Linked DNA regions of Neodiprion lecontei. The protein of the gene in region 1 binds, or shares a complex with, the protein of each later gene. Links are inferred from orthologs where the notes say so. Each region holds a gene or a part of one and is shown on either strand. Other genes may lie near its edges.

Region 1 (5,197 bases):
AATTGCAAAACCACCATCGTGCTTTCAGATACGTGAAAATAAGACCACGCGCGTCGCCGCAAATACATACCTATAGGTATTGTATAACAATAGATTGGTAGGTCGACAATCCTATTGAAGCTTGGAAGAATCGCAGCTGTTTTTAAAATTAAAACTGGAACGTACTTATCGCTGGTAGCGTGGAACCAACTTGCCCAACTTTAACCTGTGCGAAGTTCTATTGTTGGAACAAATAAAACACAATAATTCCGTTTTCACTCGCGAGTATTAACGCGTGCGAGCCGCGCTAGTAGAGACGTGGACTACATAGATTCTTACGGTCTGTTACTGTGCAATACCTTGCTGACTATTTATAGTCAAGCAGAATGGTTCGAGCAAGAATGGATCAAGCCTTTTCAACTAATGAAGCGACTCCGAAGACTTCGTTTTAACTTGTGCTGCTGTCTTGGCCTATATTTTGTTCTGGCCTAAATAATTTACTGATCATTTAATTACACTTAGTGTTACGTTGCTGGACAGGGATAACAAACTTTTAGTCTCATTGACCATCAATTTTTGATTTATTAAAAATATCGGCAAACAAGTATCTGAAAATCAGCCTATGATCAATACAGCTTTCATATTATATGAATAATGCTTGGTACATTTATAAAGCATATGTAACTTCCTATTTACTAAGGCTCATTGCGCCGCAGTTTTCATTTAGAATTTTCTAAAGAACATGTCTAAAACAGTAAGTTTTTGTGGTTTCAATTACATTTCGATCCCCTGGTAATATTTTTAGTTAAAATACTCATCAATGGTAGTAATAAAATAACTTTTTATCAAACAACTAGGTACAAAAATATGTTTTACTAATTAATATGTTAGTTTGTACATGAAAATGGGTGAAATCGGTATTCAAAGTGTGAAACGATTTTTCATCCATCGAAATATTGATCGCTTTGCTCATTCCCTAGATGTACAATATCAGTGAAAGAGGGAATATTCAATGAAAGGTACAAAGTGACTGATAAAAACATTAATTCTAATGATAGTAATTGTCGACACAATCTCAATATCAATCATAATTAGTATTATTTCTACGTTCAATATCTCTAATCTCCAATATGTCCGTTTTTAATCGCAATTTCATAATTTCTCTCCATATATCCGATCTGTGTTCCTCATTCACGATTCCCAATCGCAGTAAAATGTTCTCATTGACCCTCAGAAGCGCTCTGCCAGTTATATCATGCTGTATAAAGAGAAAACAACACAGGAATTAGGACCGCATCTGTTATATTCAAATATAATATGCTTGAAATCAATGAATTATTCCCTAAAGTCAAAATTACATACATAATACAATAAGTCGGACGTTACGTGCTATCATATTCTCTCACTTACATACAAAAACTTTTCATGATACAATTGATAGTAATCGCTACAGTGTCTCCGCAACCACTTCTGTACATCTAAGACATTCCACAAGTAAACTGGACGGGGCCGCGCAGTTTTATTCTGAATCACAGAGAGAATACTTAAGGCATGTGAAAACATTCTCACACTTAATAAAATATTATAACTTGTAATTCCAAGGATGCAACGTAACTCTTACTTTCGGTTTGTTATAAGAATTCACGCTCTCCTCAACCATTATTGAAATTTTAGGGTTAGAAACAATAATTGTTTACAGCAACGAGATCACCTGGGGGATAGCAGAAATTATTTTAATAACGGTGTTAATTGTAAAATAATCGTTTAATTTCAGAAAATGTAGAATACGGCAATTTAGACTCAATATTTGCCGTAATCTAAAAATAGAATTATACATGATAATTGCAGAGGAAACTGTACTGACCACAGTGTACTCAGTAAAATTGCACCATCAAATTGAGCTCGTTTGTTTCCCGTGCTAATTACTCATTGCTGTGCAGATCAGACTTCATCATCTTCAAATCATACACACACGAATGTACAGATATATTTTGAAAAAATATATTCATACGAATCAGTAGATTGTACTGTTATACGCTCTAATTGTAAGATTGTATCATAGTTCAGTGCCTGCCTGACATTTACAGTCAGAGCAAGTTTACAAAAGTTTACAAACATATGACTGATCCACCTGGTGTCGCTTTTAGGAACTAAATTTGAAGCCGCGCTATCACAAGTTACCACCGAACGGTAGCGACCAGTCGTAGCCGGCTACACTTCGTGGCTGGTTGTCGAGCCGGAGCCTTCCGCTGAATTTTGCTACGCCGCGCTACGAACTACAGGCAGTCCGGCAGTCGCCACGTTGGAAGTGTTGACGGTGGTGAATCAAATTTACCTGACGTTACCGAAATTATATTTATAAGGATTATTCATACTGAGCGGAACGAAAGCAAGGTTAGCCACAGGATTGTTTACATCATTATTCGTTTCAATTTTATGCCCAGATTGTGTTCTTAACTGCATATGTCAGGTAGTTCTTATTAATCCGTATGACATTTCAGTCGACTATCAAATCCTGTCCTCCACCAGACAACTGGACCTTTCATAAGGTGTATTACTTTATATTAGGAAAATATTTACGGTTTGTGATCTCATCTTGCAACGATACATCCAGTATTCATTGCTGTACGGCTCTATCATCAATGCTGTAGCTGATCAGATCTCTTGCGTAGCAATATTGCATCTTTCATTTTTGAATTATTGTTAAGAATTCATTACTCGTACTCCGAGTAATTAAAAACTTGATACCACTGTCTGCTGTTGTACAAGTCAGACTATCATGACCCGTTTGGTTGTATTATTGATAATTATTTGTGTACTTATATCTCCAGAAGTGTAACACATATATTTGCTTATGTAACTTTTTAAAAGTCATTAATTTAAAACAATTAATATTTTTATTCGTTACGGTGATCAGTATACAAGATGAAAGTGAAGGAACTGTTACGCACTGTAAATGTGGCGTGGTCTCCACCTGCTCAACATCCGATATTGCTAGCGGCAGGAACCGCTGCTCAACAGTTAGATGCTAGCTTCAGCACATCAGCCAGCTTGGATTTATATGCTCTTAATCTACAAGAACCCGGCTATGACATGGATCTTAAAGCTTCGATATCTAGTGATCACAGGTTACCCTTGAATCATTTTCTTCCTTTCATATTCTTATTGTTGAAAATCCATATAAATTTATGCTATCCTTATCTTCCCTTATGTTTCAATTTTTAGATACTTACTGATATTTAAAAGTGTTTCTTGTTTTCAAGGTATCACAAGATCATATGGGGATCTTTCGGCAACAATCCTGCTGGTATAATAGTAGGCGGTTGTGATTATGGAACTATAAAAATTTATTCAGCGGCTAAGATGTTAGCCAATGAAAGTGATTGCATCCTCAGTAGCCCTGACAAGCATACTGGTCCTGTGCGAGCCATGGATTTTAATCCTTTCCAATCAAATTTATTGGCCACAGGAGCCACAGAAAGTGAAATTTACATATGGGATCTCGTTAATACCAACACTCCAATGACTCCGGGAACTCGAAGTCAACCTCTGGAAGATGTCCAGTATATTGCATGGAACAAGCAAGGTATAGGGTATAAATTATATTATCATAAACTCAGGTGTAAATTTTCACTTACTTATAATTAATCGAATCCCTTTCCAAACTCGACTCAGCCAATTCAAATTCCAAAACTGGTAATTTGCAGACTTGAAACTGTTGATTTAACTTCAAAATTTTTTGTAGAAAACAGTATGATAATTATAAGATCGAGTGTTACTATTTCAGTGCAACACATTCTCGCTTCCACTTTCTCTCAAAGATGTGTGATTTGGGACCTACGGAAAAATGAGCCAATAATCAAGCTGAATGATGCAAACTCAAGGGTAGGTTTAGTTTTTTTCAAGTTAATCAAATTGTCATACACTATCAACCAATTACTCATCTTAACTTCAGGTTCGGTGGAAAGTGGTACAGTGGCATCCAGATGTTGCAACACAGTTATGCCTTGCATCAGAGGATGATCAGAGCCCGATAATTCAGCTTTGGGATCTCAGATTTGCCACATCACCCCTAAAAACTTTAGCGGCTCATCAGCGAGGCGTTCTTTCAATTGCTTGGAATCTACACGACCCTGATCTTCTGGTCAGTTGTGCCAAAGACAATAGAATACTTTGTTGGAACCCAAACTCAACGGCGACTGTAAGTTTATCTACAACTTTGCATGCCATATTTTGACACTTTGATTGAATTTAGTCATGAGTGTTCATTCAATCATAGAATGGAGAAGTACTTTGTGAGTTGGCACAAACAAATCAGTGGAACTTTGATGTCTCTTGGTGTCCACGCAATCCTGGATTAGTAGCTGGCAGTAGTTTTGATGGCCATGCAGTTGTTTACTCACTCTTGGGTGGTCAGCAACAAGTTTCAAGTGAAACTTCGAACAAGATTGCTGATTCGTTTCCTGGAATGGATGCCTTTGCTCAAGCACCGCCATTGCTGCAAAATGAATCAACAGTAGATCTGAAAAAAGCTCCTAAATGGCTAAAAAGGCCTGTTGGAGCTTCGTTTGGTGTGAGTAATCTGTGTACTTTACATAATTGTGTAATCTGTACGTTGAACTAACTTATACTCAGTTTTACCGATTTACAATTTACATTTTAACTCTTTTTGATGATATGAAATGTAGTCAGTAGGGTGTTAAATTTTAATATCCATGTTTAATTTGACAATTACACAGACATTTGTTTAATTTCAGTTTGGTGGAAAACTGACATTATTCGAAAATGACCCACCTAATTCGAATGGTCGAATCATTATATCACAAGTAATAACTGATCCAGAATTAATTCACCGATCAAATCACTTAGAAGCTGCACTCCAAAACGGACAGTTTGGCGATTTCTGCAAAGGAAAAGCTGATACTGCAACTAGTGATCATAATCGTAAAGTATGGAGTTGTTTGGGTGCACATTTTGGAGATAATATCACTGGAGATATATTAGAATTATTAGGATATGATTCGCAATCGATTAACACAAAGCTCAGCAAGTTTGTACCTGAAGAACAAACTGAAACAAGCACTGAACTAAATAAATTAAATAATGTAGGTATTTTTCCATCTTGACACAAACTGAAAAATGTTCATAGTGCTGAATGAATAAAATATTTTCATAAACAGATGAAAGTTACAATTACTCGTTGTAATAGGTTTCTAAT
Region 2 (6,638 bases), on another chromosome or scaffold:
GGCTGTTAAAAGATTGAAAATGATATATAATATAAGATGCAATTTGATTACGTTACGTTATGCCAGACTTTGGAATTTTGTCGGTTTAACAATATTGTGAATAATTGAATATGTTCAAACCTCAGGTGAACCCACCACTTAAACGACATCGGTAAATTCAAACGTAGATTATTACATCAGTTACGAAATACAATTCGATCTCGCGATTGTCGAGTAAGCGATGGTTACCTGTCGCGATGCTCATTCCACTTTTAGCAACGCGCAAAATTTCTAACTTTAAGCAGGCTACGGTAAATTAAATTGCGAAAAAAAAATTACTCGACAAAGTCAAGCACGTTGCGACCGTGAATGAGCCTATCCATGCAGCTAAGAAATCCAAGATTCGTGTAACAATTGTTACCGCCACGCCACGTGACATAGGAATCCCAGGGAAATACCCGTAACCTAACACATGCAAACTCACCAACGTTGCCGAGAAATGAAAGAGTTACTCGGAAGTCTCTGCTTAAATCTGTGAAAAACAAAATAGAAGACTTGAATTAATTTTGTAAATTGGCTTTTAGTTTGCAAATTAATTATTATTGTTGTCCAGTTTCATATTTATGCATTGCATGTAATGCAAGAACAAAAGTCCGACTTTAAATGTACCACCTTGAATCAATGGAAAATATCAATCAAGAAATAAAATAAGTATTGTTACCTCGACTCTGGACTGCTCCACGCTTTTACACGTAGTAGTTCTTGTAGCATCTCAGGGTCGTTGGTGAAGCGACGCACGTTTTACACAATTCAGGTCTTCACTAATCTCTTATAATCCACAAAATCCGCACCGCAATAACTCTAGCACTCGATACTACACTCACTTGTTGTGCTGCAGCTGTCTATTTGAACCGACTGAATAAACTTGCTAATAATGCAACTGCGCATTTACCAAAAATCAGCGAAAAAAATAATAAAATTGATATTCCACGCATAGAGACAAACGCGGTCTGAATGTTGAACCGATACTGAGATCACGCGATTTCGGTCCGATTGGTCGGAAACGACTGATGCCGCACGGCGCTCAGAAGAAACTAAAATCAGTTCTCTGAAGGACGGAAGATAATAATTCCCCCGCCCTCTCTGTCGCTCTTCACATGGAGTGGGGGTAGCTGCACGCGCCTGCCTAGCTGTTTTTCCCCTCTTGTAGCCACTACTCGATGAGTAGAGCGACAAAGAGGGCGAGAGAATTATTATCTGCTGTCCTTTAAGGAACCGATTCGTATCTGTTCATGGGACGCTTACACCGTTGCTGACGCTCTATTTTTTAACACGGTGTGCGGTAAGTTCGTTTTACCGTGCCTGCGGAACGTGCGGTAAGTGAATTTTACCTTTACAGCGATCTCTAGAATTATAATAACATACTCCTGCGTACTGTGTATTGACCAGATTATAATCGATGTAAACAAACGCGGCGCTAAGGAGCGAAGGCGATACTCGGATTAATAACATCGATTACAAAAGGTCATATTAGCTTTCCTTTGTGTACCAAAACCACTTTTATCAGATCTTATCGCGAACTTACCACAACTTGTGTCAAAAAATTGTATACATAACTCGTAGGGGCAGGTATCACCTACTTCCTGCACTTGTCACGTAACGTACTATTATATCTATCGTCTCAGCGGCCGGGCGAAAACACCGCGTAAGCTACGCACAACGCGATCAAATGTTTAAAGCATTAGCGTAACATGCAACGTCAGGCGAAGTATGAATTCTCCGACCACTTACGGATATTTCTTGAATGGGATTTTCTCTGCTTTTCAATTTCACTGTGCAACGGTATGTCACCAATGTTTTGCACGCGATAATTGTTAGCAGAGACTACTCATCTCTGGTTGTTAGTTATGAAGAACTTCTTTTACCGACGTGGTTAGTTGCTTGGTTGATAATACGTGAAATTGCTAATACCCCCAAACCTAGCCAGACCCGGCAAACTGTCAGGCAAAATAACCCGGGGTTATCAGTCTTTATATATCCTCAGTCAACGGTCAACCGTATCCTCGAAAGGCTAGGTATCCTCCTTGCGTAGACGCCCATAGTCTGTACGACCGTGGTCCGTCCACAGAGATGCTAATGTATTAGAAGGGTATGCGCATGTGTGAGTGCTTACTTGTCATTGGCTGCTCCGGAGTGTTTCCGGGAATCGTGAGTAACCGAAACGCGCTTCTGAAGTGTGACGTGTATTTCGAGTCATTTCGTGAGTTCCACTTGTTCTGCGATCGCCGATTGTGCGTAGGACATAGGTTAGTAAAGAGTGGTGAAGAGCATTTCCGATTAACAGGACGTTTCTAATTACGCAGTTCTGTGGGCTTGGCTGTATTGTCGGCCTTGTAATTTCAGCCTAAATCGTGCATAGGAAACCGTTTTATTTTGCCCGACTTCGCCTGAGTAAATCAAAAGTAAACAAAATGACGTTCGTTTCGCCGATGCCGAGTCGTGAATTTCTTTGGGATGTCTTCCAAAGGTGAGTTTGTAATCCATTTACAAGGAATACCTACAAACTATTTTTATTGGGAGTTTAACGAGACTTGATATTCGTAATTGATTGCACGTGACGTGTTCTCGACGACAAACTTTCTTTCCTCCCGATTGATATGCGGCGTCATATTACGTTTAAGTGTATCGTCCTTGTATTTTCGAACGCTTAGTAATCTTACTGCTAGAAAATTGGAACGTTTTGAAAATGGGTTTAAATGATTCTATCGTCAACTACTTCACTTTTGTGCTTTCCAATCGCCTCTATTCTTGCGAAAGTGGAACGTGTGAAAGTAATAATATTTCGTGGTCAGTAAATGCCGCTAATGCTTGCCGTTTTAAAACTATTATACATTTTCCTCCAGTTTCCTCTGATACTTATATGTAATTTATTTCTACAGAGTTGATAAAGACCATTCTGGAGCAATAACAGCCGAAGAACTTCAAGTAGCTCTTTCTAATGGAACCTGGACTCCGTTCAATCCTGAAACAGTTCGTTTGATGATTGGTAAGTTTCAAAAAGATGTTACATTTGTTTCATCGTTATGCTGTTCTGTTTTACTGCTTGAAATTAAATTCTTGAAATTAATATGCAAAAATTAATAATATTCATATATAATAATAAATCTTAACTTTATTTTTCAATTACCTGACGTGAAGTTGTATGCATGAATCAATGGTACTGGAAATGAATTTAAACCCTGAAATAGACGGATTTCTGTGAATATTCAAAACAGTCTTGCACTTTTGCTATGCACTTGAGATATACCAGCAAATCAATGTGCAGAAATTATTAAAATCTTTGTGAGATTATGTGCTTTCATTTACTTTGTAATTGCCAAGTCTGGAAACCTGTAGTTAAACTAGAATTTATATACTTTAATTGACATACATTACTAAGAATTGAGAAATAATACTGTCTCCAAATATTATGCAACATGAATGTTATGGTTTTGAGCATGTTTCTGAGAAGCATAGAAATCTCACTACACAGAGTCAAATTTGATATGAAAAGTTGTTGCCCAGGTACCAACCACTGTTACAATAAGTCGTTACTCAAGCATGTGAAAAGAATGTCAGATTTGCTTGGTAGTCAGAAATCATTGTTCGTCATTGACAGCGTGGAGAATGAGTAAATTTTTTAGAAAATATTTGTTTGCAGCATGACAGTGGTATTTTTTCTCATTTAATATGTATGTAATAAGTCAGTCATGATGATTCTCTCCATGCAGGTATGTTTGATATTGACAAAATCGATCCTGCTTCTCCAGGTATGTTTGACAAAAACCAAACTGGAACGGTCAGCTTTGAAGAATTTGGAGCTTTGTGGAAATACGTTACTGATTGGCAGAGTTGCTTTCGTTCATTTGATCGTGACAATAGCGGAAATATTGATCGTGATGAACTCAAAACTGCACTTACCAATTTTGGATACCGTTTGTCAGACCATATAATCAATACGCTTATACGGAAGTATGATCGTGGCGGCAGGGGGACTATATATTTTGACGATTTTATCCAATGTTGCATCGTTCTATATGTAAGCATACTCTGAATTACATTTTGATTCATATATAGTTTGAAAGATAAAATCTCTGCGTCAGTAATGAGTCATTGTACATAAGGACTTATTGACACTCGATCATGTAACTGCTTAATCTTTGCTCAATAATATCACTGAATTTTGGTACCAATAAACTTTTGCAACAGTAGCCAATAAAATACTCTTTTGCATTAATAAAAATAATAAAATCAAATTACAATCATTTTATTATTGCAAGTGTATATTTAATTATTACCGTTTTCACTTACAGACATTGACATCGGCCTTTAGACAGTTTGACACCGATCAAGATGGAGTGATAACAATTCACTACGAGCAATTCCTTGGGATGGTATTTAATCTTAAAGTTTGAAGAAGAATGTATACAGAGTATATGTTCTAAGTATTTTGTGGCACATTCTCATAATTACTATAATATTATTATTTTTAGTATTGTTATATTCAGAAGAATGTGAAACTATTATCAATATCGTTATTGATGTATTTACATCTAGTGCAACTGATCTTATATTTGTGATTAAACAAGTCCCAATTACGTTTTTTTCGCACTATTACACTTATCTAATGTATAAACATGTATTCCAGAAGCTTTCATAGATTACGTTCTTGCATTAATTACATTCACTGCTGTTTCTCCATGCAGTAATGCTACATTATTTTTATATGCAAAATTTTATTAATTATATTATTGGTCGTGGCTAATAACTATTGGTATACATATATGTATATAGGTGATAATACATACACCACTATATCTTTACTAATTATAACTAATCAATATTATTATGCAAATGCCAATTTATCAAATATGTTATCTTTCGTAAGCAAAACCTAAGTGACGAAAATATTACCGTGATATCTCTTGTTCCTCTAGCCTATTAAATTAGGTAAGCATGTTGCGGACTGCTTTAAAAATATGTCGTTAACTTTGGCACACGTTTTAATAAGCATTTACACCAAGAATGTATCAAGTAAGCAAATATGGTTAGATGTAATGAAAAACGATAAAACAAATTTGTATTCAATTTTTTGTGGATTTTAATCGACAAAATGATCGGAATGGTGTTATTTTCAACTTGAGCCAGTCATAATATGATTTAAAAAATTTATATCACGAATCATCGGACACAAATGGATATTTTTTTGAGTACGATTCGGAATTCGAAGTGGAATGTGTGTAAGATTTTTTACAAATGTGTCAGATACAATAAAATCTCTGCCAAACAATTCTAACTACCTGGAAACGTTATAAACTTTGAATTACAGCCTTTGATATTTGCAAATAAAAACTACATGAAAGATGTAGCAAAATTTTATATTATATACATTTAACTTTGTATATGCCACTTTTTTTACAAATACCGGTTGACGATGATACAAATGGTGCCAAAGTGATACTATCGAGCTTGTATTCACTTTCACTATGCATACATTCTCTGATAAGAATTAATGAATTCTCATGTGGATTTTCTAAATATGCTTGAGCTACAAATATAAATGTACAAATAAATGTACAGGAGTTGTTAAATTGTTAGATTTTTTAAAAAAATGTATCGAAATATTCTTGCCTAAAGTTATATTTCGTTTTCAGAGATATCTATGGTTCGAGTTCTAACTTTTTATGTAGCTCACGCAGAGCGCCCAAATGTATATCAGCATTATTATTTAAGAATGACATGTAGTTTCACCATTTATTAGTGAAAGCCTTCTGCGTATAACACTATGTTATATCATTGACCGATTACCAAGATCTAACAATAAAATGTGTCAATGTCAATTATGCCTATGTATAAAAAGAGTACTAACTGAGTAAACAAAAAAAATCACTTCAAAAAATGCTTTTATAATCTTTCTACTCCATTTGTAGTTGTTCCCTATTTCTTATACGTTCATCTATTTTCCAATTATTTTTATAGCTATTTGAAAATATGTAAAATAGCTTTATGAAGAAAATAAATCTTCTCCTTATACGTGATATTCTCAATACCTTCCTTTATCTCTTGATTTTTTTGTTTTATGAAATATTGATTAATTATGTAGGTACCTACTTCTGATCGTTTTGACATGGTAAATTAGTAGCACTTTTGAAGCACCCCACCGTGTCCTGCATGAAATATTGCAAAAATTTTGGAAAAAATTTGTCTTAAAGATGATATTAAAATATGTCTAAATATTGAAAAATCCACCGAGATGAAAAAAGAAAGAGTCCCACTCATTTTTTATTACTACTCGCAAGTCGCGGGCTCATATGCCTATGATTCCGACGTTTGGTGATCACAAGCAAATCACACGGTGATCATTGTATGTGATTGAATGTGTAGGCAGCTGTGTTAGGCAGTGTTAGGTAATTGCGTCATGCGTGGCGCATGCGCAGATCAAGATTTAGGCGGCCGTCATGAACTTGTGTAAACGACGGAACCGTGTTGGGAACCGTGTTGTTCGGTTGTCAAAAGATTACGTTTGAATAAACCCGATTTGACAACTTCGGCTAATGAAACGTTATGATTTACTCTAAATCCGTTAAATGGATTCAGGAGTAAATGTTTCTCGATCTCTT

Evidence for each region.
Region 2: the proteins of protein transport protein Sec31A (region 1) and programmed cell death protein 6 are in contact, whole or in part, in a crystal structure (PDB 3WXA), measured with the Homo sapiens proteins. The link is inferred for Neodiprion lecontei from reciprocal best matches to the Homo sapiens genes SEC31A and PDCD6. Residues at the interface, in NP_001070675.1 of Homo sapiens: Asn837, Pro838, Pro839, Pro840, Pro841, Gly842, Phe843, Ile844, Met845; in NP_037364.1 of Homo sapiens: Val31, Val35, Leu48, Ala51, Leu52, Ser53, Asn54, Gly55, Thr56, Trp57, Phe85, Trp89, Ile92, Gln96, Phe99, Phe148.

What each region holds. Positions count from the first base shown.
Region 1 is NC_060260.1:31,677,700-31,682,896, reverse strand, and holds the start of protein transport protein Sec31A, read left to right. Parts: upstream 1-2,156; 5' UTR 2,157-2,373; intron 2,374-2,505; exon of another isoform or gene 2,506-2,528; intron 2,529-2,896; 5' UTR 2,897-2,904; coding exon 2,905-3,107; intron 3,108-3,242; coding exon 3,243-3,565; intron 3,566-3,766; coding exon 3,767-3,864; intron 3,865-3,934; coding exon 3,935-4,180; intron 4,181-4,258; coding exon 4,259-4,552; intron 4,553-4,736; coding exon 4,737-5,084; intron 5,085-5,188; coding exon 5,189-5,197. Other genes in the region: protein aveugle, read right to left, coding at 1,061-1,237, 1,390-1,503, 1,601-1,639. UniProt on the Homo sapiens protein: Component of the coat protein complex II (COPII) which promotes the formation of transport vesicles from the endoplasmic reticulum (ER).
Region 2 is NC_060265.1:9,452,293-9,458,930, forward strand, and holds programmed cell death protein 6, read left to right. Parts: upstream 1-2,062; 5' UTR 2,063-2,450; coding exon 2,451-2,506; intron 2,507-2,918; coding exon 2,919-3,025; intron 3,026-3,749; coding exon 3,750-4,057; intron 4,058-4,331; coding exon 4,332-4,433; 3' UTR 4,434-6,056; downstream 6,057-6,638. Other genes in the region: uncharacterized protein LOC107217557, read left to right, coding at 6,606-6,638. UniProt on the Homo sapiens protein: Calcium sensor that plays a key role in processes such as endoplasmic reticulum (ER)-Golgi vesicular transport, endosomal biogenesis or membrane repair.